Linked DNA regions of Lepisosteus oculatus. The protein of the gene in region 2 purifies or fractionates together with the protein of the main gene of each other region. This does not show direct contact. Links are inferred from orthologs where the notes say so. Each region holds a gene or a part of one and is shown on either strand. Other genes may lie near its edges.

Region 1 (8,014 bases), on a different chromosome or scaffold from region 2:
TGCAGTCATGAGTAACTGCAAGCTGAGACATGAAAAAAAACTGATTGGCTATTCCAAACCAGAGGACAGAGGGGGGTAATAATAACAATTTGCTATTCTCAATTAGTTAAAAAACGCTGATAACACATTTAATTTCACATTGTACCTCCTTTGACTGATTAAGCCAGGAACAACCCTCACAGTACACAGTAAGCCAGTAGCCATATCACTCTGCAACTTACAACTGGTAACCCACTGAAGTTAAGCAGGTGTGAGCCTGGTCAGTACCTGGATGAGAGACCTCCTGGGAAAAACTAAGGTTGCTGCTGGAGGAGGTGTTAGTGGGGCCAGCAGGGGGTGCTCACTCTGCGGTCCATTTGGGTCCTAATGCCCCAGCATAGTGATGGGGACACTGTACTGTATACTGTAGCCATTAAAAATCCCAGGGTGTTTCTCGAAAAGAGAAGGGGTGTAACTCTGGCGTCAATCATGTCCTCTTATAATCCCCATCTATGAATTGGGTTCATTACTCTGCTCTCCTCCCCACTGATAGTTGATGTGTGGTGAGCGTTCTGGCGCACTATGGCTGCCGTCTCATGATCCAGGTGGATGCTGCACATTGGTGGTAGTGGAGGGGAGTTTCCACTTTGAGTGGAGTGTCCAGAAAAGCGCTATATAAGTGTAAGCAATTATTATTAATTATTAAATAGCAGGATCAATAAATAAATTTGATATAATTAAATTTATATTAAATTAAATTTATATTAAATTGTCTTTTTAATATAAAGAAAATTGATTCTTTATTAAATAACTGAGCTACAGTAGTTAATATTCCCTGAAGGGGAATAGAGGTTATAAGTGAAACCACGTCCATCCGCAGAGGAAAAAAAAACTACCTGGTGCTCAAACAGGTTTTCTTTATCGAGTGGGTGTAAAAAAAAGTAAAAAAAAAAGTTCTATATTTTTTTCAAAAGGAGAGACTTGAAGCACAATGAAGTTCAAAGCACCCTTTATGTCCCCATATACTGTATGGCATGACAATCTCCCCTTTTCTGTCCCAGATAACAAAAACCTTTATCTAGCATTTCTAAATTCCTCTCAATATGCTCAGGGTCGATGTCATACCCTGAATGCACAAGTAAGGAAAAATAAACTCTTTTTAAGAAAACAATGCACCGAGAATGAATTCATTTCCTGCGTTTTCACTGGGCAGACTTTTTGTTTTTGGCAGCACATCCTTAGAGTCTGAGTTACTGATTAGGCCTAAAAAATGATTAAAAACTTGCAATGTCCCTGCCAACACGAGGACCAGAGTGGATGGGGAACTCCTCTGTTGAACGTTGCGACTATATTGAGAATTTCTCGAGAACAGAAGAAATGAAACATATACCCTCCAACACAGGTTACATGTTCATAAGACAAAGATCAGGTACATACACTGCTAATTATTTTCAGTCATTTAGCAGAACTGCAAAGGACACCCAGGACCTTCACAAGTCACATTTTAAAAAATTAAACCATAATATTTCTATCTCAAGTTCTGATTGAACAGGATTATTTACAGATCTCAAACATTCAACTTTCGGGAAATGGAGGTTTTTAATCCCATGACTACAAATACAATCTCACCACTCATTAAGAGCCCGTTTTACAGAGCATGCTCTTCAATTGAGTAAAGGGTGCCAGAGTGGAGTAGTGGTTAGGGTTCTTGGTTACTGCCCAGAACATTTTTGAGCTTCAAACAACTTACCATAAGTAAAATACACTCGATTTCTTTCCTCTATCAATTATATTTACTATTACTGTGTAGGTCAAGTCTTAAACACTCTTAACTACTAAATGAACATAATTACATAACATAATAGAATGAATCTACCACACTTTAACAAACCGCAGGAAAGTATCCGACCAAAGCCATGATAATCACATTTATGAGAATTCGCGTCCTCTTCTCCTGAACCCTTAAAAGATATGAATAAGAAACTGGTTTATTTCCATGAAGAATCTCTCGACCTACTTCCTTGAGAAACTTCCTATAGAAATGCTCGAATTCTGTGGAAATATTTTCCCTTAAGGTTAAACAACGTGAAAAATCTCTATACTTGTCCTTGAATAAGTATACACTAATTAAGGCTCCGCAACGCACGCAGAACATACAGAAAAACACAGTACAAAAATTCAGTTGCAAAAAAAAGTTTCCTTTTTACATTACGGTTTCACTGTACAACTTTACTGTACGTCCGGCTCACAACGAGAGAGACTAGTCAATCCCAAATTAAATACAAATATCACGTTTACACAGCCAGACGCTCAAGTCATCTTTACACTATCCAACTTCATGATGACACAGTACAACCTGATTAACATTTTAATATTTAGGTTATGGGGGCATTTAATGTCTACAATTATACAATAATTTCAGTTTAACCTTACCTAAAAGATCTACAGTTGCGGTCATAAAGAGAGAACAGCACAAGGATAAACTAATTCACATTTTTATAAAAAGTATTAGATTAGGTAGTTTACAGTACGTATAGCCATGCAGTTTGACAAAAGCCATGTTGTGAGCAAACATCAAAACATGAGGGAAGTAACCTACTCTTGGGTTATTACGGGCGATGTATCCCTGAGCTTTATATTTTGAATTTCGATATCGTAACTTTGAGTGCAGGTCTCAGTTTTTCTTAAAAAAACAACTGGCAGATGGTAACTTTATAATGCAGCCCCGCGCAAAAGTAGAATTTAACTATAATAAAATATCAATAAGACGAACGTTGTCTTATTTTGCCTCCCTTACAATCACATTTACAAATACAATCTAGATACACGTATTTTTAAAGAATAAATGCATACCTCCGGGGTGACATATGAAACAAACGAAGGCTTTGAAGATTTTACACCTCCGCTTCCCAAACCCAACATGTTGATAACTTTGAGGAAATCTGTTCTCTTCAGCCAGGTGTAACCCTGGCCAAACACAGGAATAACCTGTACCGTGCTCAAACCGCGCCCCTCCAGCTGTCACATTGGCTGCCTCGCTTGAGAGAACACTCCATTTTGCCATAGGGGCCACACTAGGTCGCGTACAGCTATTGGGTAGAAAAAGCGTCAATTATTTCAGCTGGACAGCCCCTTCTGTGCAGAAAACTTCCTTTTTTCCATATAGGGCGAACCTACTGTTACAATTGTTCTAATCGCAGAATTGCTTTTGTATCACTCACTCTGCTACGTAATCTTTCATTTTCCTTCGCTAGATAGGTAGCATTCCTCCTCCTCTGTTCTCGAAAGGGCTATTACGTTGAGAATCTGCGCTGGGGAATATCAACAGACAAAACGCCCTAAAGCGGTCTCAAGTAAATTCGGAGAAACAGTTGTGCCAAACCGGACGAGTAGCTCAAGACTCAAAAACAGCTTATGTCTGACAAGTTTTTCGCCAGAGTTTACATTTCATTATAAAGAAGGACTCAGGGATAAATGTAGTTTTATACTTAAACAAGTAAAAATAATTTAAAAATTCCTTTCGCATCCGGTGAACGGTATGTAAAGTACCATTTCAGGAATTTATATTTCCTCTAAGTGCAAAAGGAGCTGATAAGCACATATTATCACGGCGACATTTCTTGCCATTTATGCGGAATGTAATTAACAAAATGTATTTCCAATATAATACATTAAAATGGAAAATAAAAGAACGTTAATAAACATGGTTACAATATTTGGTATATTTCATAACTTTAGCTGTATGTCTATTTTAAAAACATTATTTTTGTCTTAGACTTGGTGATGTGTTTTTTAAAGTATTGCATTGTTAAAAAATGTGGAAACAAAAATCCTAGGGCTGTAGACTTTTCGTTTCTGAAAATAACCAATTAAATCATATATTTAAAAACAAACATCTGAAAATTTGTTTGCAAAAAAGTGGAGGCCAGACAGTGCACTTACATCATTCTTACAAAATATAAGGTGATGTAAGGTAAATTAGAGGCCCATTCTTTCATTCTAAGGTGAACTATCTATATACAAGTATGTTTTAATGGCAGATAAGCATATCTCAAAGGTTACTGTTGTTTTTTTTGTTTTCTCTGAGTTCAAGTAGTCCTAGAAACCTTGTTAAAAACACTGCAATATTTTCAAATCTCCATTCTCTGTCTATTGTAAAATTTAATTTAGCATAAGGAATTCTCTGTGATGGACTGGCAACACGTCTGGGGCGTAAATCTTCTTACGCCTGTTGCTTGCTGGGATAGGACCTGACTCCCGCGCAACCCTGTACTGGATGGAAGTGGTTTGAAAATAGGAGGATGGGTCAGGAATTCCTGTGAGGTAAGGGTCCAATTATTATGTCCCAAAATGAATTAAATATATGAACTTGAATACAGATTGTTACTTTCTTCTTGATATAATAATAATAATAATAATTAATAATAATATAAACTTTATTTTATATAGTGCCTTTAAAGGTGGCTTCTCAAAGTGATTTACAGGATGACAAGAACAATAAATAAGAAGAATACACAAGATAAAACACAATTACTATATATAGAGGAGACTGTGGATGGTGGTACTAAGAAAAGCAGAGGGGTGAAGAATGGAACCAGTTAAGGCAAGTAAAGGCTTTTCTGAAGAAGAGGGTTTTGAGTCTGGATTTGAAGGAGTTTAGAGAATGTGGCATAACAGGAGATATGCCTTTATTACATATAAGGCCTCTAGAAACTCTCCAGCTCTCTTTTAATCGTGCATGTAATTATGTGGCTGTTTATTGTTTATCTGTTAACGTGGAGTTAATTTATCTTATTGATTTACCAGCCCTTAGTTTGGTTTCTGGATTGATCAGAAGCTTCCCCAGCACCTGTCCCAGATGAGTTGGATAAAAATGTGTACAAGAATGTACTTTATGATATTGATTTGGCTATATCATACTCTCAAGGTCATTAGTGCATAGGGAAGTTTAAAAAAATAAGGTCATAAGGCTGCCTTAAAAGCTTCAGGATGTCCAGAATTATGCAGCTTGTGTACTGAATACTTTGTATCACTAAGTAACTCCTATACTAAATAAATTGCTTACATATAAAGCATAATCACTCAATAAATCAGACAAGAAAGTCAAAAGCGTAACTTTTGTGTTTCTTTCATGCTTATAGTTCAACTCCTAATCTGAAATTTGCTGATTCAGGTTTTCTAACTCTGGTGTTGTAAGGTAGAGACTTCTCGAAAGACCAAAATCCTTCTCTGAAATATACTTTTCAGCCTTTTCTTGAAAGACGTGAGGGAATCAGCCTCAATAACATCTCAGTAGCTTGTTTCACACATCCTCGACTCTTATTTTTCTCCTGGGTAAAAGCTTGTGTTCTTTTTTAAATTCACTTTCAGGTGGTTTCCACCTGTGTCCTCTGGTTCATACAGGAGTTCACTGTTAATTCTCAAGAAGCCATATGGGTTGACTACTGTATGTCAATGCCTTTGTAGATTTGAACATTTGTCCCATCATAGTCATCTCTGTCTAAAGACTAAAAGGACATTTCTTTAAGCCCAGAAATGTGTCTGGTTGTTCTTTATCTGGAGAAAGCAACAAAATCTCTTTTTATAACACGGTCCTTAAAAGTGAGCACAATATTTTAAAGGAAGTCATAATAGTGATGTACAATTTTGCATACCATGCCTTGATTTAAATTCTATGATTTTCCCAGTATCTCCCATTTACCTTTTTATTTGCTTCTCCGCATTATCTCAAAGTCAACATACTGTAAACAATTAAGTCTTTTAGAAGTAATTTACCCAGGTTTAATATTTTGTATTGAAGAAATATATATAATGAATAACTATAAAGCTATAGTTTATGTTTTTTTCTAGTACTCTGTATTTTAAATGTTATGTTTTTGGTGTTTTTTGAGTCTTGAATTATTTTTAAATCTTAAATGTTTGAATTTCCGTTTCAAGGTCTACTGCAATTGTTAATCCTTTTGTTTCTTGTATCATTTGCAAATGTCACATGTTTGTTAACTGTATTAGAATACAGATCACGTATATAAATTAGGAAGAGCTGTGGTCCTAATACAGACGCCTGTTGTACTCCACTAATTGCATCTCTCCAATTTGAGCATTCTGTCCTTGTCTGTGAGATGGAAAATGTTTTAGGGTGCAAGTACCCCTCGCAAGAAGAGGAAAGTGGTCTGAGATTTGTTTACTGGAGTCCGTGAGCAGTGGAACCCTTACCCCTTACCCCTTGCCCCCTTGAATGGCGAATACAGGCAAGCCTTCTTCTCTTCTCAGGGCTGGGGACGTCTGGTACTACTGCAGGCTGTCTTGAAGAAGTCATGGGGCACTCCAGTCCCGCCACAGCAACTTCAACTCCACGCTATTCTGAATGCTTTTCAATTGCCTCAAACCAGTGACGAGCAAGACCCCTGCCCCTTTCACACAATATCCAAAGGTCGTGGCAGTTTTATAGGGCACCCGATCTCCCAATGCACCGCCACATTGCTTGTGCTGCAGGGTTGGGTTCTAACGCATTAATGACTCTCTTTTCTTCTCCAAAGTGTCCCAGGATGTTTGGACAGCACTCAGGTTTTGTACCGTAATTTCCATCTTTGGCCAGAATTTGTCCATTGAGCAGTTTAAAAAAAACACCCCTAAACTAAGCTGGCATTTTAACCTCAATACTTTCAACCCAACCAATACCCACATTTGCATATACTTACATTAACAAATCACTAATTAACCCCATCTGAGAATGCTGTCATGGCTCTAACCGGTAATATAATAACAGACCATGAAAAGCTATTTTATCATTTTTTAGGCCCTTTGGAGGCCTCTAGTGGCAGGTCTGTTGATACTGCTTCCCCTCTATAGACCATCCTACCACAAAAACCTTTTCTTAACCTGCGTTGTATATCCCCCAGGATCCTACTTCCACATTGATTATCCTTTATTTTAATACTAATTATCATTTCCATAATGTTGTGCATAACAGAATTTTTCACTTTTGTTACCATTTTAATGAATGGGCCTATCATTAGCAATTTCTCAGTTAATGGGTACTGAATTACCACGGTCTTCAGTGACTTAAGAACTGCATCTCTTGTTTTCTTAAATATAATTGGTAGAATACCATAAGACCCTGGAGATATATTCATCTTAAGAGCTTCTATTACCAACAGCACATCTGACGCATCTGCTAGTATTATTTGATATCGAGCTTTGTCCCATATCCTGAAAAAAATGTTGATTTCTTCTTGGTGAACATTACATCAATTTGTATTGCTTTTAAGCTCTGTTTCATTCCTTCATCACCTGGTTTTCTGAAACAAACTTGATTTTTACTCTGCTAATAAAATGTGACCTGTAAGTGACATTCTCTTAATGCCTTGTCATATCCACCCAATGTGGCATGGATTTTCTTTTTGCAACTGCCATTGTTATTGACCTTGTTTAATTTTTACATTTCCTTTGTTTCAGAGTAAATACTTCATGAAATATCCTTCTGCAGACAGCTATTTGACCTCTGAGAATTCTGTATTTTATCAACCCACAAAAATACTCTTTGTAATGAGATCTTGAATGTTGCTGCTCTTGTTGCACCCAAATAAAAGGAAACATGATACAATGGTTATATCCACAAGGTTCAGCTATGAGTTATTACAAACAATTGTTTTATTAAACGAAACACGTACAAGGAAATGGCCGATAGTGGATGTGTTGCCATCTGGTAGATCCAGAATTCCTCTGCTGCTGGAAAAAGTCACAGCAGCATGAAGCTCTGCAGTAAGAATTATGTTGTGTTAGTCAATGGAAAAGACTTTGAATCGGCTAAAAGGAGACAAAATAGTTGGAAAGGTGGAACACAAGCCAGACCAAATGGGAAAAACAAGTCTGCATCACAAAATAAAAATAAGTGTTATCACCATTGCAAAACAATTTCCCACTGGTCTAGTAGAATGGCTTGTCAACTTTCTTGCAAACTGATTTTTCCAAATTAGTTTTATATGTTCAGTTTCCTACCTGTAATTTTACAAAAAACAAGGTTTGTTGCACCTTG
Region 2 (7,083 bases):
GTGTGTGGAACAGTAGTACCAGCCAGGTAGTTGAGCTGCGGGCTTCTCTATGGAAGATGGATTAAACTGTATATTCCCATAGCTACTAACAAACAAGCTAAATGGTTTTCTGTCTTCTATTCTTATGTTTATGTATGGAAACACAGAAAAACAAAAGTTTATAAAAAAGAGCCAATCTTACCCGATCCATGCATTTGAAAAACAGTCTGTAGTTAGTAACAGTTAGCGTTCCTCTTATGGCACCAATAAAGGGACAGATATAAGTGACATCTTTAGCTGCAAAGTAAAGGAGCACAAAGCAGGATATAATAAGGACTTGAACAACGTAATGTGTAAAATCTCAACAAGAAATGAAACAGGAATTTCAAAACATATAAGTGAAGACACCCAAGAAGGACTTGTAGTGAAGCACATAAAAGGTATAGAATTCGCAGAGGCAATCATGAACTAGCACATCAGCCCATGTTAGAAAGAAAATATGGGCTTTTTTACTAGTATACTAATACAAAAAACAGAGGTAACATGCTAATAAATGTTGAGTAAGAGAGATCAAAGGCATTTTCATTACCAATTGCAAAGCAATTCATTACCAGTTCTAAGTCACCATCTTTAAAAGATGTCCAAATTGAAGGCTACCCACTGGAAGACCTACCCATATCCTGTATTGATTCCTTTGGTAGTAACTGAGGTTCTTCCAGTTGAGCCAATTTACTAGCCTCTCTTAGCACCTATTGTCAAAACAAGAGCGCTGTCATTCACAAAGCTTGCATGCCACACGTTGAGAGCATAAAGCAAAAGCAGACGAACACTGTCCCAAAGAAGGTATTCTAAAAACCATTCTAAAAAATTTACTTTAGGATCTCAACGCATTAAAATCACGAAACAAGCAGCATCAAGGCAGAGTTTAGAAAATGTACCATTACCACTGACCAGCACGTTCAACATCACAATACCACCACATTAAGAGGACAGACTAAGAAATAGTAAAGACTTAGCAATGTGTAACACTTACAAAGTGTGTGATTTACACGCGGTGAGTAATCCCCAATTTAAATGGCTCCATTCATTTACTTAAATTGCACAAAACTCATATATTACAAAGCATTATGTATCTCTAGCATAAGGTGTGTGTCCCTATAGGAAGGAGGCAGGTGGCTGAAAACAGTGAAATTCAGTAATAACTATAATGTCCAATTAATATAGTTAAATATTCCTGTATTTGGAAGACTGGTATCATTGGCTTCATGTGCCAGGACATGAGACCTATGACTTTCAGTTCTGAGAATTTCAGAACTGGAACATTCCAGATTGTTTCAGAACCACTTCTTAGACCTTAGACAGCAAAGAGTCAAAATGAACCACTGAGTGCTTTACCTTGACCTCCAGAAAGCTTTTACCCTGTTGAGAAAACAAAAAAGTCTGTAAATCTAAAAGAAACGATGAGAATATCAGCATAAAAATATCAAACAATCATGAGTGTTGACTTGTAAGACTTAAAGTGCTACTTGACCTTTTATGCCTAGAAACCTAAAGCCTGAAACCAGATTTAATGACAATAATATTACCTTTGAAATTTCATTACAATACTAAAAGTACATTGAATTTTCTGCACTTGTAATACAAAAAGGTTTTTGTCTACTGGATTTGGAAATCCTATTACGAGTCTCCCTTTAAACATCCTGAACATGCAAGGCTGAACAATTTATATATTTGTTACACAATAAAGGCAGAAAATTACAATTACAAGACTTGCAGCAATTCCTCTAAGTAGCTCAAAGTATTTCATTTATTTTCAGCCTACAGCAGAACAACACAAAAAAAAGTAAAAAAAGAATAAAGATTCAAAGAAAAAAAAGAAGCGATGTGAATGAAAAAAGCTGATTAACAAGACCTTCCATAAAGGTCCTCATGAACTTTCCCTCCCCCTGACTTTCGGGGAGTGTACACACGAGTACCTCTCAGCAATATACTGTACACACCCGGTGCTCTGGTGAGAGCTCTGCAGAAGTGGACACGGAGTCGGACGAAAGAGTCAGGGGCTGCTTTGTGTGAGAAGAACGATCTGAGCGAGAGGTGGACGTGCTGCGGGTACAAGACACCAGTGTCCAAATCCAGCGATTTATTGAGTAAAAAATAAAAGACCCCCCCTTACAATTTTTTTTAAAATCTGCAGTTGTGAAGCAATAACCATTGCGGCAACACTAGAACTACACCACCACTACAAAGGGCCTCTACAGTGTAGAGCGTTCTGAAAGACAAATTGTGAAACTTTTAATAACAATATTAATATTAAGAAATGACAACAATCCTCACATTAAGCACTGCTCTTTAAAAAAAACGCCCAGAAGTTCCTTTACATGTTTTTAAAAATATTTAATTATAGCTTTTCGATTTTTCGGACTAACTGTGGCGACAGATTTCAATTTTCGGGACCAGCCAAACTAAAAGGGCTTTTAACTCATTTTACTTCTCATTAAAAAAATAAGGAAGATTACTCAAAATGTCACAGTGCAGAGAACGTTATTTTCGCGCAGACGATTAGCCTGTGGAAGTGAAGATGTACTGTAATGATTTATCCAAGTTGACAGTAATTGCGGTGAGCGCGATGCTACAGCTACCGTAACGAACAGAACAACATCTGGAAATCTCAGAAATGAGCATTGCAATGGTTTATTTTCAGTACGGTTAAATACAATTTAAGTGTTCCAGAAGGATAACAGCTGTTATTACAGACTATGACATTGCAAAAACAATCTGTACGTAGCTGAGCTCCCCCACCTGGATAATGAATCCACACTGGGCTGCCTGGAGGACGGTTTGGATCCGAGGCTATCGGTGCTTCCACTCTTTTCCATGTCTTTTATGTTTCGTTATGATCTCTGAATACAATGCCAAACTAGAGAACAGAACGAAATTCAAGTAACAGAAATATAAGAAAGAAATAAAATTAAAGAACAGAATGGACCCTAGCACAGCAGAAAGCTGTAATGCAGACAGGAAGCTGCCATATTTACCCAGAGTGCCTGGAAAAGTGAGGGGTGGGGATTGTTTACATCCCAGAAAAAGGGAATCGAAATTAGGAGCTCTGTGTAACTGAGTTGTGTTGGTACAGTGTAGTGGTACTGCAGTTACTGATAACAAACGTGTTGTTTTGTAGGCTTTAACAAACACTGTATTTCTGGTTGGTTTTTGTTCGTATTTTAAATAATAAAAGTTACTGTATTTGTATTGTATGGAGCAAATGAAAAACCGCCTCGTTTGTCTTAATCATGCTTACTGTATACTGTAGTTTTCGTATAAATACTGTAGTACGCAAGTCACTTATTTTCGAAGATGTAAAATTAATGCGAAATTGGCATACAATTTAATATTATAAAATTGCTACATTTAGAAATGTATGATTTCTTTGCAGTATTTTAAAACCGACTTTGCATTTCTAACCTGTTTCTTCCACGGAAAAAAAACATCCGTACACTAAACTTGAAGCTTCTTGCAATTTTTTAATGTAACCTAGGAAAGTGTTCGGTGTAGTTCATCAGGGCACTGTACTCCACTGGCACTGGGGAGAATCTCATGTATTTGGAATGCTTTATAAGACGTTCTGTTGGGAAACTACATTATACTTAATTATTAATAGTATAATAATAAAAATAATAATAATCTATTATAGTTACAAATACTTGTGTGGCTTTCACCAGATTCTTACAAATTAAAGTTAATAAAAAGTCATGAGAAAAAAGAAAGATGTGACATATATGTGTATAAGTCATTATTACTGTATCTTTTAATTAATATATTAATTTGAAAATTGTTAAATGTTTACAAATGAGGTTTTGAAACAATGACAATGTACCTATTAAACCCAGTAATACATGCGCTGAGCTGTTTAAAACAGGTTTTCTGACTTTTCAGAAACAGGTTATAACATGTGGCAGGACCCCATATTGACCAATAGTATACAACTAAACTGCACTATACTATATATTAAAATACAATAGTTAAATAAAAAAACAATATTCTTTATATCCTTGCTTTCCGATTACTCATTTCCATTTCCATGGTGATTTTAGATAACTAAGAGACACCGCAGATATCAAAGTCAAATGTCCCTAAGTTTAAACCATTTAAACAATAATAATAATTTTGTAGTATTCGGTCAGAAATAAAATATTTGGATTCACTTACCTTGCTGGTGTAACTATTTTATACTTAATGTAATATAATACTTAATCTGATAAGGATAATGTACCCTTTAATACCAGTTAGGTCCATTACCATTATAAATCAATTTCTAGAACATTTGTCAAGAACATCATATTTCATTTAAACAGGATGACAAAAAGCCTCAAAATTACAGTATGTCTCCTCATGAAGAAGTTATGTTCCCTGTATTAAGATAGAACTATTCAAAACCTGTCAGTTTAAGCCAGGACCAAATGACCTTAGATTGCAAGACAGAGATCAGAGACTGAGCTTCGTGGTTCATATGACATGGAGAAGGCAATTTCAATCTGTCTTCAGGTAGCATAATAATAATAATAATAATAATAATAATAATAATAATAATAATAATAATAATAATAATGGCTTACGTTTATATAGCCCTTTTCTGGACATTCCACTCAAAGCACTTTACAGGTAATGGGGACTCCCCTCCACCACCACCAATGTGCAACATCCATAAAACAATTCAATAACAACAGAACCCTAGGAATAATCTAATCTGATTGATCTATTCCATCTATTCTAATCTACCCCTGTATTATGTAAAAAGAGCCCAGAAAGAGGCTATAAACTGCAGGTAGACAGACTACTTGTGAGGTCTGTAAATAACATCAAAATATTTAACTATTAAATACATCAAATAGCTTCTGCTTATGCATTGTACATTGCTATGTATGAATATGCATTTGTCATTTGCTCCAAATACTGAATTTGTATGAAGCAGTAGGCAACAGAAACTAAATATTGGCATAACAATCACAGCATTGCTTCACATTAACATATAAAGATTTAAAGTATAGTGGGGTATACTGTGCTGATTCCTGGCCTCCAAAAATTGTGAGTTAGTGGAAAAAAATAAGTTAAATACATTGAATCAATGCAGGGTTCATACAAATAAAACTAGATTATATTCTTGCTGGGATAGGCTCCAACTCCACCATAAGCCAGAATTGCAAGATGTGGATAGAAAATGGACAGATACTTATACCAAGATGTGTTTGTGTTTACCACTGCAGGCAAAACAAGACATTTTCATAACCCTAGGTTTTGAGCAAGAAAACAATGGGGTGCCATCTCTCACCTGCTAATGCATCAGTTTTGACAAAGTCCGTCATACCTATTGATAATTCATGTTGATTACACACAGACACCCATTGTTATCAATGTTATTGTCTTGTTTCGATCTACAGTAGATATGGAGTGCTTGTCACAATGACAGCATGAAAATGTACCGTAGGAACACTTCGTGAAAACGAAATTTCACAGGCAAGGCTGAAGAGCTGTCCATGGTGCTGAAGTTTTGTAAAACTACCAGTGTGCAGAGCAGTACTATTGAATTTAACTGTTTGGGGGAGGGATAAGTAAATCGATTCCATTCCATGATTTCTTAATCCTAGTAAAGTGCTGGGAGAGTGGCCACTGAATAAAGAAGAAAGAAAATGGTTCTCTAGTAATGCTTAGATCATCAGTGTACTTTGCTCTTCTAACTCTGCTGCAGTAATACCTAATGTCTTAAGTCATTTATCTCTCCCTACACCTTCTCTCATGCTCTCTGCATTTTCTCTTTAACCACAACTATACTCCCAGTATTCCTGGTACTTTATACTCCCCTCTCTGCTTTTCCTCAGTGGTGGAATGACCTACCCACTGAAATCTCAGCTCAGTCTCTGGGGGCACTGCCATCATAATTCCTTTTCCTTAAAAAGATCATGCTTCACTTTGAGGATTCAAGGGGAGCAATGTGGATTTTAAAACTCGGAAATCGATTTTACTGGAGTCTTTGTAGGTTATATCCTTCTTACTGGAGGTTTGGAAGTGATAAGCTAATGATGATCATAATAAGCGGGTACAAAATTCTGCATGTGGGAAAAATACATTTAAAACTCTAATAAGTATGCTCTCTTACAATAAGTTAGCATTATTTGAAAACCAATATAATTCACAAACCCAGGATACATATACTGCATAGTATAGGTACAATAACAGCTTGCAAAATTGCATGTAATGATGTTAACGATGACACACAAATTTAATTTAATGTAATCTTCAAGGTTAACTACTGCTTAGTAAATTAAAACTCTATATGGAATCCTTCAAAAGGCTATTTCTCTCGCTTCTGTAAAGAACTGTATGAAGATGGTGTTGGGGTGAAATTTTGACAGAAGGACAAGTATTTGCTAACATAAACTAAACAACTCTAACCTTTTTTAATTTATTAAAAAGAAGGGGAAGGACACAGCTTTGTTCAATGTATGAAATTTATTTAGATAAAAATTCATTTGCCTCTGCCTTTGTTCTGTCTCAGAAGACATGTATCCCACAGCTTGTGCACCTCTCTGAGAATGTAGTCCTTAACATGGCAATGAAATGATCCAATACAGACTCCCTTTACAGTATCTACAGAGATATGTACAAATGACAACACAAGGACAGAGAAAAAAGAAATTTACAACTTATGCAGTTATATAACTAAATCACGTGTTTTCTTTTTTATTTGGCTGCTTCTTTAAGATAAAGTTTAATTAAATCCAATCTGGAGACAACCCTGAAGCAAATCTTTCTTGTGGGTTTCTGAAATGCTTCTATTCCGTCAGGAACTCAAGTGGGATACAAAATTATGCCACCCAAATACATCTATTAAAAAAGGCTACACCTCACATAAAAACAGTGTTCTTAATTCCATGTTTTATGACAGGTTACCATATTTGAATATTTTCAGGTAAACAAAACATTAAGAAAATTCTGAAATAATTGACATTCACTTCAAGCACTTACAAATTTATACAATGAGTAAATTCATCTCCTTGCTTGCTAGTTTTTTTAACATGTTTGAAAAACATTTAATTTTCATATTTACAA
Region 3 (8,046 bases), on a different chromosome or scaffold from region 2:
CTGCTATAAGCACCTTCCTGTTGCATTTACTTTGTGCTTTCAGCTTTCATTTTCTCAGTTAAGTACTTGTTTCCTCTTTCCTAGGGAGGGAGAAAAAAACATCCTCCAAGGCAAAAGGCTGTTTGATGTGCCACAAGGAACGACCAAAAAGCAAACTGCTCTTTTTATTGCAGTACTTTAGCTATCAGTGACAAGAACAAGACTTGTTCCTAAATCCACTTGACCCATGTACAGTATTCAAACTTTGAAATGGATTACTGTAATCCAGTAACAATGACCATTTTGTTCAGATGTACCCGGTCATTTCTGATTATGGTTGTAATGGTTCAACAAAGAATAACTGATGAGGGTTTTTATTCTGCATGGCTTCTGTTGAGCATGAAAGAAAGACTGAGGAAGGGGGCACTAAGAAACACTGAGATTAAACAAACACACTTGGAAAGAACAATTAACCTTTAAATTCCCACTTTTTTTCACACGTAACACACCACCATATTATTTAAATATTATTGAAAAAATACCTGTGGACTATAATAATAATAATAATAATAATAATAATAATTCCTTGATTCCTTGCATTTGTAAAGTGCTTTTGATCCCAAACGATCCGAAAGCACTTCACACAGAAGAACTAAGATTTAATCCAAAAGTGAAATGGGTTTAATTTTTATGTGACACTGAGGGGTTTTAATTTGCTATAATCTCACTTTGGAATTTCAACTTGCTGATTCCGGTTAATCAAAAAAACTCCTTTACTTGGATTCCTTCTTTTACAATTCTTCTGCATCTTAGGACAGATTCCTGTAGTTCCAGCAGGGGCATTTGGCTATAGGCAAATGGAATTACTATAAATGCTTAACTGCATCTGCAGAGCTGCAGATACAGCTATTTTTATGTCTAGATTAGGTGTGCTGTGCTTAGGTTTGCCTTCTAGTTTTAAATGGTGCCATGTAAATCATCAAAACAGTTTTATAAACTGGAGGTTTCTTAACGTTCAGCAACAATAGCATAAAAGTACAGGTGTTTGTTTCCTATATGAATATTAAGGTTATCTAAAAAAATGTGACACATTTAAAACCACAAAAAGATTCTATAACACCCACAGCTACTTCTGACTGTTACGCTGAAACCTCAAGAGTTCTACCACATCCTGTCAAATTCACTTAAAACCAGATAAAGAAAAAATGTCAAACGTGCAGTACGTAGACAAGGAATGCCAGATATTGTATATTATGCCTGCATGGTAGTTAACAGAACTATTGGGATTTAGATCACACACAAATACAACCTCTTAAGAAATTGACACGGCGATGTGTTAATAAAAATGCATTGCTTCAATGTTGCTGTTCTTGTTTACAAAAGAAAAAAAATCTAATATCATAATAACCCCCCCCCCCCCCCCAAACAACAGGCAGTGCTTTTTAATCACCGATGATTTAATTCCCTAACAGTTCGTGTTACAGTATTTTATGTCAAACTCTTAACGGTGTGTTTAGATTGTAAAATTAAAGAGAGCTTGGACACGACGCAAAACTGATTCATCAGTCAAACCAGGGGCAAACCACTCAGGGCAGACTTTAAAACTAACAGCAAAAAAACCGTGACAATTGAATTTGCTCCAATCTGACCTCAGCAATTCCTATCCTAAACTCCCCGCGGGCACCGGTGCTTCACATTAACTATCCTAGGGAATCCCGACAGTTAAGTTTACAAAGGTTCTGTCATGCATCTCCATCGCCACAACCCATTAACACCGACAGATGACTTCTGCAAGCAAGTGTCATGCGTGTCCATGATTATAAGATCATGCTCTTTAAGACGATTACATAAAAACGCCAGAGCACATAAGATTTGGGGTGCACGCTTCTCCGGATTCTGCTTTTCAGTGAATGTGTGAAAGCCTGTGTGTGGTTTATTATTGTTTTGTAGGTAAATCATGCTTGATCTAATCAGCAATCCAGAAACCGTTAGCTAATGACACTGGAAACACCTGTGGCCTTGCTACCTGTTTTTTTTCCTCCATACTGTACCTGTTTTCGTCTTTGTTCACAGAAAAGAGTGGCTACCTTGCACAAAACAGGAAACGTTTCCAAAATTATAGAACGATCCTCTACCAAAACGCCAACGATATTTTAATCTATGTATTTACACGATGCCAACATGCCCAGTTCAGTCAACTAAAACCTATTGGGCCGTGAAGATCATTTTAAATGATCCGCAAGATGCAGTAGGCAATGATGGTTGCAAATACAATGCTGAGCAAAGCATTTAAAATGAATCACAAAGAAAGACATTCAAAATTAAAAAAATGCACCCAATTCACGACTAAATATATGTCAATTTAGCTATATACAGTACCTTGCTCAAATTATAGAGGATCATTTTTTTTTATTTTGTTATCGCTATACCAGTCCTAGATCCTCGAATCAGTAGGTGGGCATACAAGTAACTGTATTTAGAAAACGTAAGGACTGAAATTCCATTTCGTACATTACTTGTTTTACCAAGAATGGGCTTTAGTAAGCACAGACACTATTGTCTTACTATGGTCAATTCCAAGCGTTGTTAAACATAATCTCTGCACGTCATTCATTACTCATTCAGGATGTGACAGGCTGAATTGTTCCAGTAAAGTTTCATTTACTTAAAAAGAAGAGAAAAAAAAACTATATTTACAATTTTTTCTTCCTCCTGCCTGCGGTGTACAGTTACATTTTACAGCACTGAGCAATAACAAACAAACCCCTCTTAAAAACAAAACACAATACACTGTAACGTAGTGCCAAAGCATCCAATCTGGATACCACAGTATCCTATTAACCCACTGACTTGCACGGCCTGAGGAATCCCCCCTTCGCAAGAGCAGTCCGGTGTTTCCAGGACGTAAAGAATTGCGTTTTTCGAAAACTCACCAGTCTTTTCATGATCGTATCCCACGACAATGAAATAATCAACCAGCCTCGCCATGTTTGGTTCGATTTACGACCTCTACCAAGACAATTCAGCATTTTTCTTTCTCCAAAAGCACAGCCATGTTTGACACAAGTAAGGGCAGTGCGCCTGCGTGTGCTGTAAGTGATCCTGTATGGGCGTGGGCCGTCTGGGTTTACAAACACAAATTCGTGCTGTATAATCACAGGCTCTGCAGAAAAAGGAAATGCAACCCGCCGTCCTCCACAAATGTAAAAAACACTTAGCGATCACAGTCACATTTTGTAAATAAGCGCAAACGTTAAGAATACTAGGGTAGTTTTTAGCTGTGCATTGATTTGTTAAAACAACGTTTCCTGCTGGAAACGCAAGATGTAATTACAGTAGGCAAGACTAATTGCTTCCTTTTCTGGAATATCTGCGCTGGCCAACCTTAAAATCTTTTTTTAAAAGTACTTTGGTTTAAATTGAAGGCTGCCGTAAAAATGTGGTGTCGTTGGGGCATTGACAGGACATGGAAATGTTTTGGCGAGCAAAATAACATTTCTTTAGTGAAAGGATGACTTCAATTATTTAGCAAGTCATTAGCAGCTGCATGTTGTTTAGTACAAGTTAAATGCTAAAGCAAGCGGCGTCTTAAAAAGCAGGTGTATGTGGACCATGTTGGTGCCATATGCGTGCTTTAACTTAAAGCAAATCGTTGTTTTCCAGTTCTCCTGCGTTAATGATGCAACGTAGAACATTCTGACAGGACCATAAAATTATGATTTTATTTTTAGTTATTTTGTGGCCAAATATCCCATGGCTTTGGCACAAAAGAGAGTTGGGTTTTCACACATGTTTTTAATGTTTAGGAGCCCGTGTCAGTTTATTTTAATATCGTTAAGAAAAACCTTTGCTGGTCGTCAATGACACGTCTCTAGGTAACTAACAACAATAAACCCTTTGTACTTAAATACTTACAGGTTCCACATTTTTTTAACGGTTGCCTACAGATGTTCTTCTTCAGTTGCCGTGATATAAAAATACTTTAAATTGTACAGTTCATATTGTCATTTACAGAGTAAATATCTCATATCACAATCTAATTTTTTGTTAAAGGGGTTAGCCACAGTAAATACGATCCGTGACAATACCCAAGGACATTGCATGCATTTACTTTACTTTAATTTGCAGTACCCCCAATTTTACAACTGTTTTACCATGCTTTTACCATAGCATACCACAATAAACATTTGTGAAACATTTTGTATGCACACTGTGGGTGCTTGTAAAGCGTGTAATGTGTAATGATCAGCCTTAGGGAAGCCTGTCATCTGCTGCCTTTACTTCCTCAGCTTCAGCACCTTGCAGACGGCAGCCTGTTTTTGTTGGCCTTTAAATCAGCCCTTGATTTATTGCTGGGAAGTTTCCTTTGGGACATTAACACCTAATAAAGTTTATTGGCATAGCAATCATAAGGTTATTTTGACAAAATAAAAAACATCCTCTGCCACCATAATATTTTCTTACCACTTCAATGTACACGTGTAGTAGCACAAGCACGGTGCAAGATCTGACAGCACTTTCATACATGCTCGGACAATGACAAAGCTCCTGATGAACACAACTGGGATTAGGAAATGTAAAAATGCTAAAACCTGAGTTTTGAAGCTTTTTTAACAGCATACCTAAAACTCTGTCATCCGCTGACTTTCCACTTTTATTACTGGTATATTAAGTTCCAAAAGTAACACGGACTGGCTTTCTGGTTTGAGGTCGACTAAGGACTCCTTGAGAAGTGTAAAAGCAATATCTACGAGTCTGGAAATAAGATAAAACATTAATTGATAAAATGCCAGGACACAGGAAGGGCATTGTTAAACTGGATTTGTCATTATCCCTCATTTAATGTCACTCTACAAAAACACTTCATTTCTCTGTAAAAACCTCCTGTTTTTTTTGGAACTTTACATTTACAAATCTGTGGGAAGAGCGATTTCTGAGATTTCAACTGGGAGAATATGAACCCAAAGCAATTTCAAAATAGAAAAAGAACAACAGCAAAAAGCCAGAAACTAGGATAAACATATCAACAGCTGATAACTGACCTGAAAATAATATGCTGGGCAAACTAAGCAGCAGTTTCAGTGCCATTTCACCTTGATGTATAATAATAATAATAATAATAATAATAATAATAATAGAGCTTTTCTGGACACTCCCCTCCACCACCACTATTATGCAGCCCCACCTGGATGATGTGACACAGCCATAGTTCGCCAGTAAACACTCAACACACACCAGCTCTCAGTGGGCAGGAGAACAGAGCCGTGACTGGTAAAGGTCAAGGTGGATTTGACCAGGGCACCAGGGTTACCAACCTGCTCTTTTCACTCTCTGGGATTTTTAATGACTACGCAGAGTCAGGACCTTGGTTTTATGTCTCATCCAAAGGACAGTGCTGTTTTTACAGTATAGTGTTCCCGTCACCTATACTGGGGCATTAGAACCCACACAGACCTCAGGGTGAGCTCCCCCTACTGGTCCCACTGACACCTCTTCCAGCCACAACCTCAGCTGTCCCAGGAGCCTCCCATCCAGATACTGGCCAGGCTCACATGCGCTAACTTCAGTGAGTTTGTGAGTTGCCATTTGTGAGTTGCAAGGTGACATAGGTGCTGGCATATTTATTGGGCTTGTTATAACTCATTACACCATCTCACACTATGTGGTGTCGAGTTCAAATGCTGGACAAGTAAAACAGTAATTCAATTCTTAAAGTGAGCCTTTGGATGCCACGTCTTTGCACTTATTAAAATGCAACCACACGAGACTGGCCATGCTGGAGGAGGAAACTCTTCTAAACTCTGCAGCATTTATATCAGAAGGGCCATGGAAGGCTCTGCCAAACACAAATAGCAAACATTACAGTGGTGTGGAAAAACACTGGAGCAGTGGGATTCTCTTTTTCTCCTGTTTTTGCCAGAAACTGAATAGCTTTAAAACGACTTAAATTTGTTAGGGCTGAATCATGCATAGCTCTTAAACATTAGAGAGTCAAAAAGCGGGCTGTTAGCTTGCACTATTACAGTGCTTGTGACTGAACGAATAAACACTTCTTTGTTGTATCATGAAATTCTTCTCTTGCTCCTTCAGCATTGTGCTAGAAAGGGTTTCAGCATGCTTCTGTCTTCTGGTGATTTGTCTTTTGAATTTAGCAAATATAAATATTTAGACTAATGTAGTGTATTTATCATTCTTACCTCAATAATTCAATCACTTTTCAATTAATTAAGAAAATGATTGGTTTTAAGTGTCTGTCATGATATTTCTAGGAAGATTGTGCTTAGTTATCTTTTACATTCTCTGAAAATGTTTACACTGGAATTTACCAGGAAAAGAGCTCCAGAGAGCCATTCTTCTCATAGTTTATTTACTCAGATGATACAGACAGCTACTCTGGGGCCTGGCTGAAGTTTTAATTGGTTCAGTTCAGAACAGATCCTCCAGAAAAGGAAGGATCTGCCTCCTTTCCATCTCAACCAATATTGAAGGTCATGGTGTCATTTGTTAACACAGGAACCACTGCTATGTGTCCAGTAACCTTAGTGTAAATATACAATTAATTTAAGAGTTAAAGCAAGGATTAAATTCAGGACTGTGAAGAGAAGGTTTAGAATACTTCTTATTTTAATAGAATACTTTTATACTCCGATAAAGGTTCAGCGTTTTGATAAATCTACTGAAATATAAATGAGTACAAGTGCAGTTGTAATCAAGCCAACAACAATCCTGTCAGGATTATTAAGCATGATTTCTTTGTGTCACTATTCAAGTGACGTAAAGGAAACTCTACGTTTGAGAGCCATTTCTTTTCAAATCAATTGATTCATCTAATATTCCAGTACATGTAGATGGGTTTTTTTTTTCAAGCTGCAGGATTCTGGTACAAGCCTCCTGAAATTTAGTTAAAGTACTGTACACCCCCTGTCACCAGGCTGTTGGAGGTACCATCCTCTGAAAGAGATGTTAAACAGGTGTCCTTAATACTTGGCCATCAAGGATCCTTTGCCATTTTTCAGAAGAGTAGGATTGTGAACTCCAAGGTGATGGTTGGATTCCCCTCTGTTCCTGCACAGCCCGGTGTCCCTAAAGGTCTCCTTAATTCAACTGATTCAACTGGGCTTCTGGTACAGTATATGATGGGTGCTGTACAGTACATATCCCAGTACAGGTGCTGCACTTCAGCACAAGATACTGATCCAAAGGTCCATCACATATAGAAGGAGATCCATTTCATTCAGTGGTAGATGAAGTGGGTCTCCTTCTATACACTATGAAGCACCCTGGCATCCTATGAGATCAAATGCACTATGCCTATGTAACATTATTTTTATTCTTCACGTAATGGCTGTCTGAGATCCTTTGATCAATAAGCTATTAGCAACCTCATCTTGTTTGTAACCTTTGCTTATGATGCATTTGATACATTTATTTACCTGACCATTTTTTTATTACCAGAAACCAAGATTAAATGTGTGCTTTGTAGTGTCTGTTTATCAGCACATGAAAGAACATTATACAGTAAATACAATTATTTATTAACCGTTGACGTAACCTAGGAGCGCTAACGTGTGTGGTACAAATTGTTTCAGCATGCAGAGAACAACTGTGATGAAGTGATCATGTACTGTTAGATGCTATGCTGCTAGAATTGCCATACAAATCTGCGTCAGTACAGAAAGTGAGGGCTTTGATTTTTCTCATTGCCCCGATTTAATCACTTAATGTTTCGGATTCTTCATTCCTCGCCTGCAAGTGCATTTGACAATGGATTCCACTGATTGCCGAAAGCTTTACCCTCCTATTTCAAATATCCAAGCATAGTATGTTTATCTACAGAGATAGCAGAAAACATAGAGGGAAAAAAAATTCAGATTGGAAAGGAAGTATTAATCTACACCACATATTTCACATTCCAAAAACAGCTTCTGCGAACAAGCAAATGATTCACTGTATTGGTATGTTACACTGATTGGTGTCATCATCGTCATTGTTCAGTGTGGACAATGCTCAATTTCCACTATATTATCCTCAGGGGTTCTGGACTTGTAGTTGCAACACTAAGTGGAG

The links.
Region 1: the proteins of mtmr2 (region 2) and mtmr12 purify together in Homo sapiens (affinity purification with mass spectrometry; 5 studies listed by BioGRID and IntAct, with this or other methods). This does not show direct contact. The link is inferred for Lepisosteus oculatus from reciprocal best matches to the Homo sapiens genes MTMR2 and MTMR12.
Region 3: the proteins of mtmr2 (region 2) and sbf2 purify together in Homo sapiens (affinity purification with mass spectrometry; 3 studies listed by BioGRID and IntAct, with this or other methods). This does not show direct contact. The link is inferred for Lepisosteus oculatus from reciprocal best matches to the Homo sapiens genes MTMR2 and SBF2.

What each region holds. Positions count from the first base shown.
Region 1 is NC_090698.1:39,906,999-39,915,012, forward strand, and holds the start of mtmr12 (myotubularin-related protein 12), read right to left. Parts: upstream 3,026-8,014; 5' UTR 2,902-3,025; coding exon 2,833-2,901; intron 1-2,832. UniProt on the Homo sapiens protein: Acts as an adapter for the myotubularin-related phosphatases. Regulates phosphatase MTM1 protein stability and possibly its intracellular location. By stabilizing MTM1 protein levels, required for skeletal muscle maintenance but not for myogenesis.
Region 2 is NC_090700.1:12,220,550-12,227,632, forward strand, and holds the start of mtmr2 (myotubularin-related protein 2), read right to left. Parts: upstream 3,034-7,083; 5' UTR 2,856-3,033; coding exon 2,779-2,855; intron 2,083-2,778; coding exon 1,980-2,082; intron 1,399-1,979; coding exon 1,375-1,398; intron 729-1,374; coding exon 653-728; intron 277-652; coding exon 182-276; intron 1-181. UniProt on the Homo sapiens protein: Lipid phosphatase that specifically dephosphorylates the D-3 position of phosphatidylinositol 3-phosphate and phosphatidylinositol 3,5-bisphosphate, generating phosphatidylinositol and phosphatidylinositol 5-phosphate.
Region 3 is NC_090716.1:9,379,348-9,387,393, reverse strand, and holds the start of sbf2 (myotubularin-related protein 13), read right to left. Parts: upstream 3,080-8,046; 5' UTR 2,968-3,079; coding exon 2,913-2,967; intron 1-2,912. UniProt on the Homo sapiens protein: Guanine nucleotide exchange factor (GEF) which activates RAB21 and possibly RAB28. Promotes the exchange of GDP to GTP, converting inactive GDP-bound Rab proteins into their active GTP-bound form.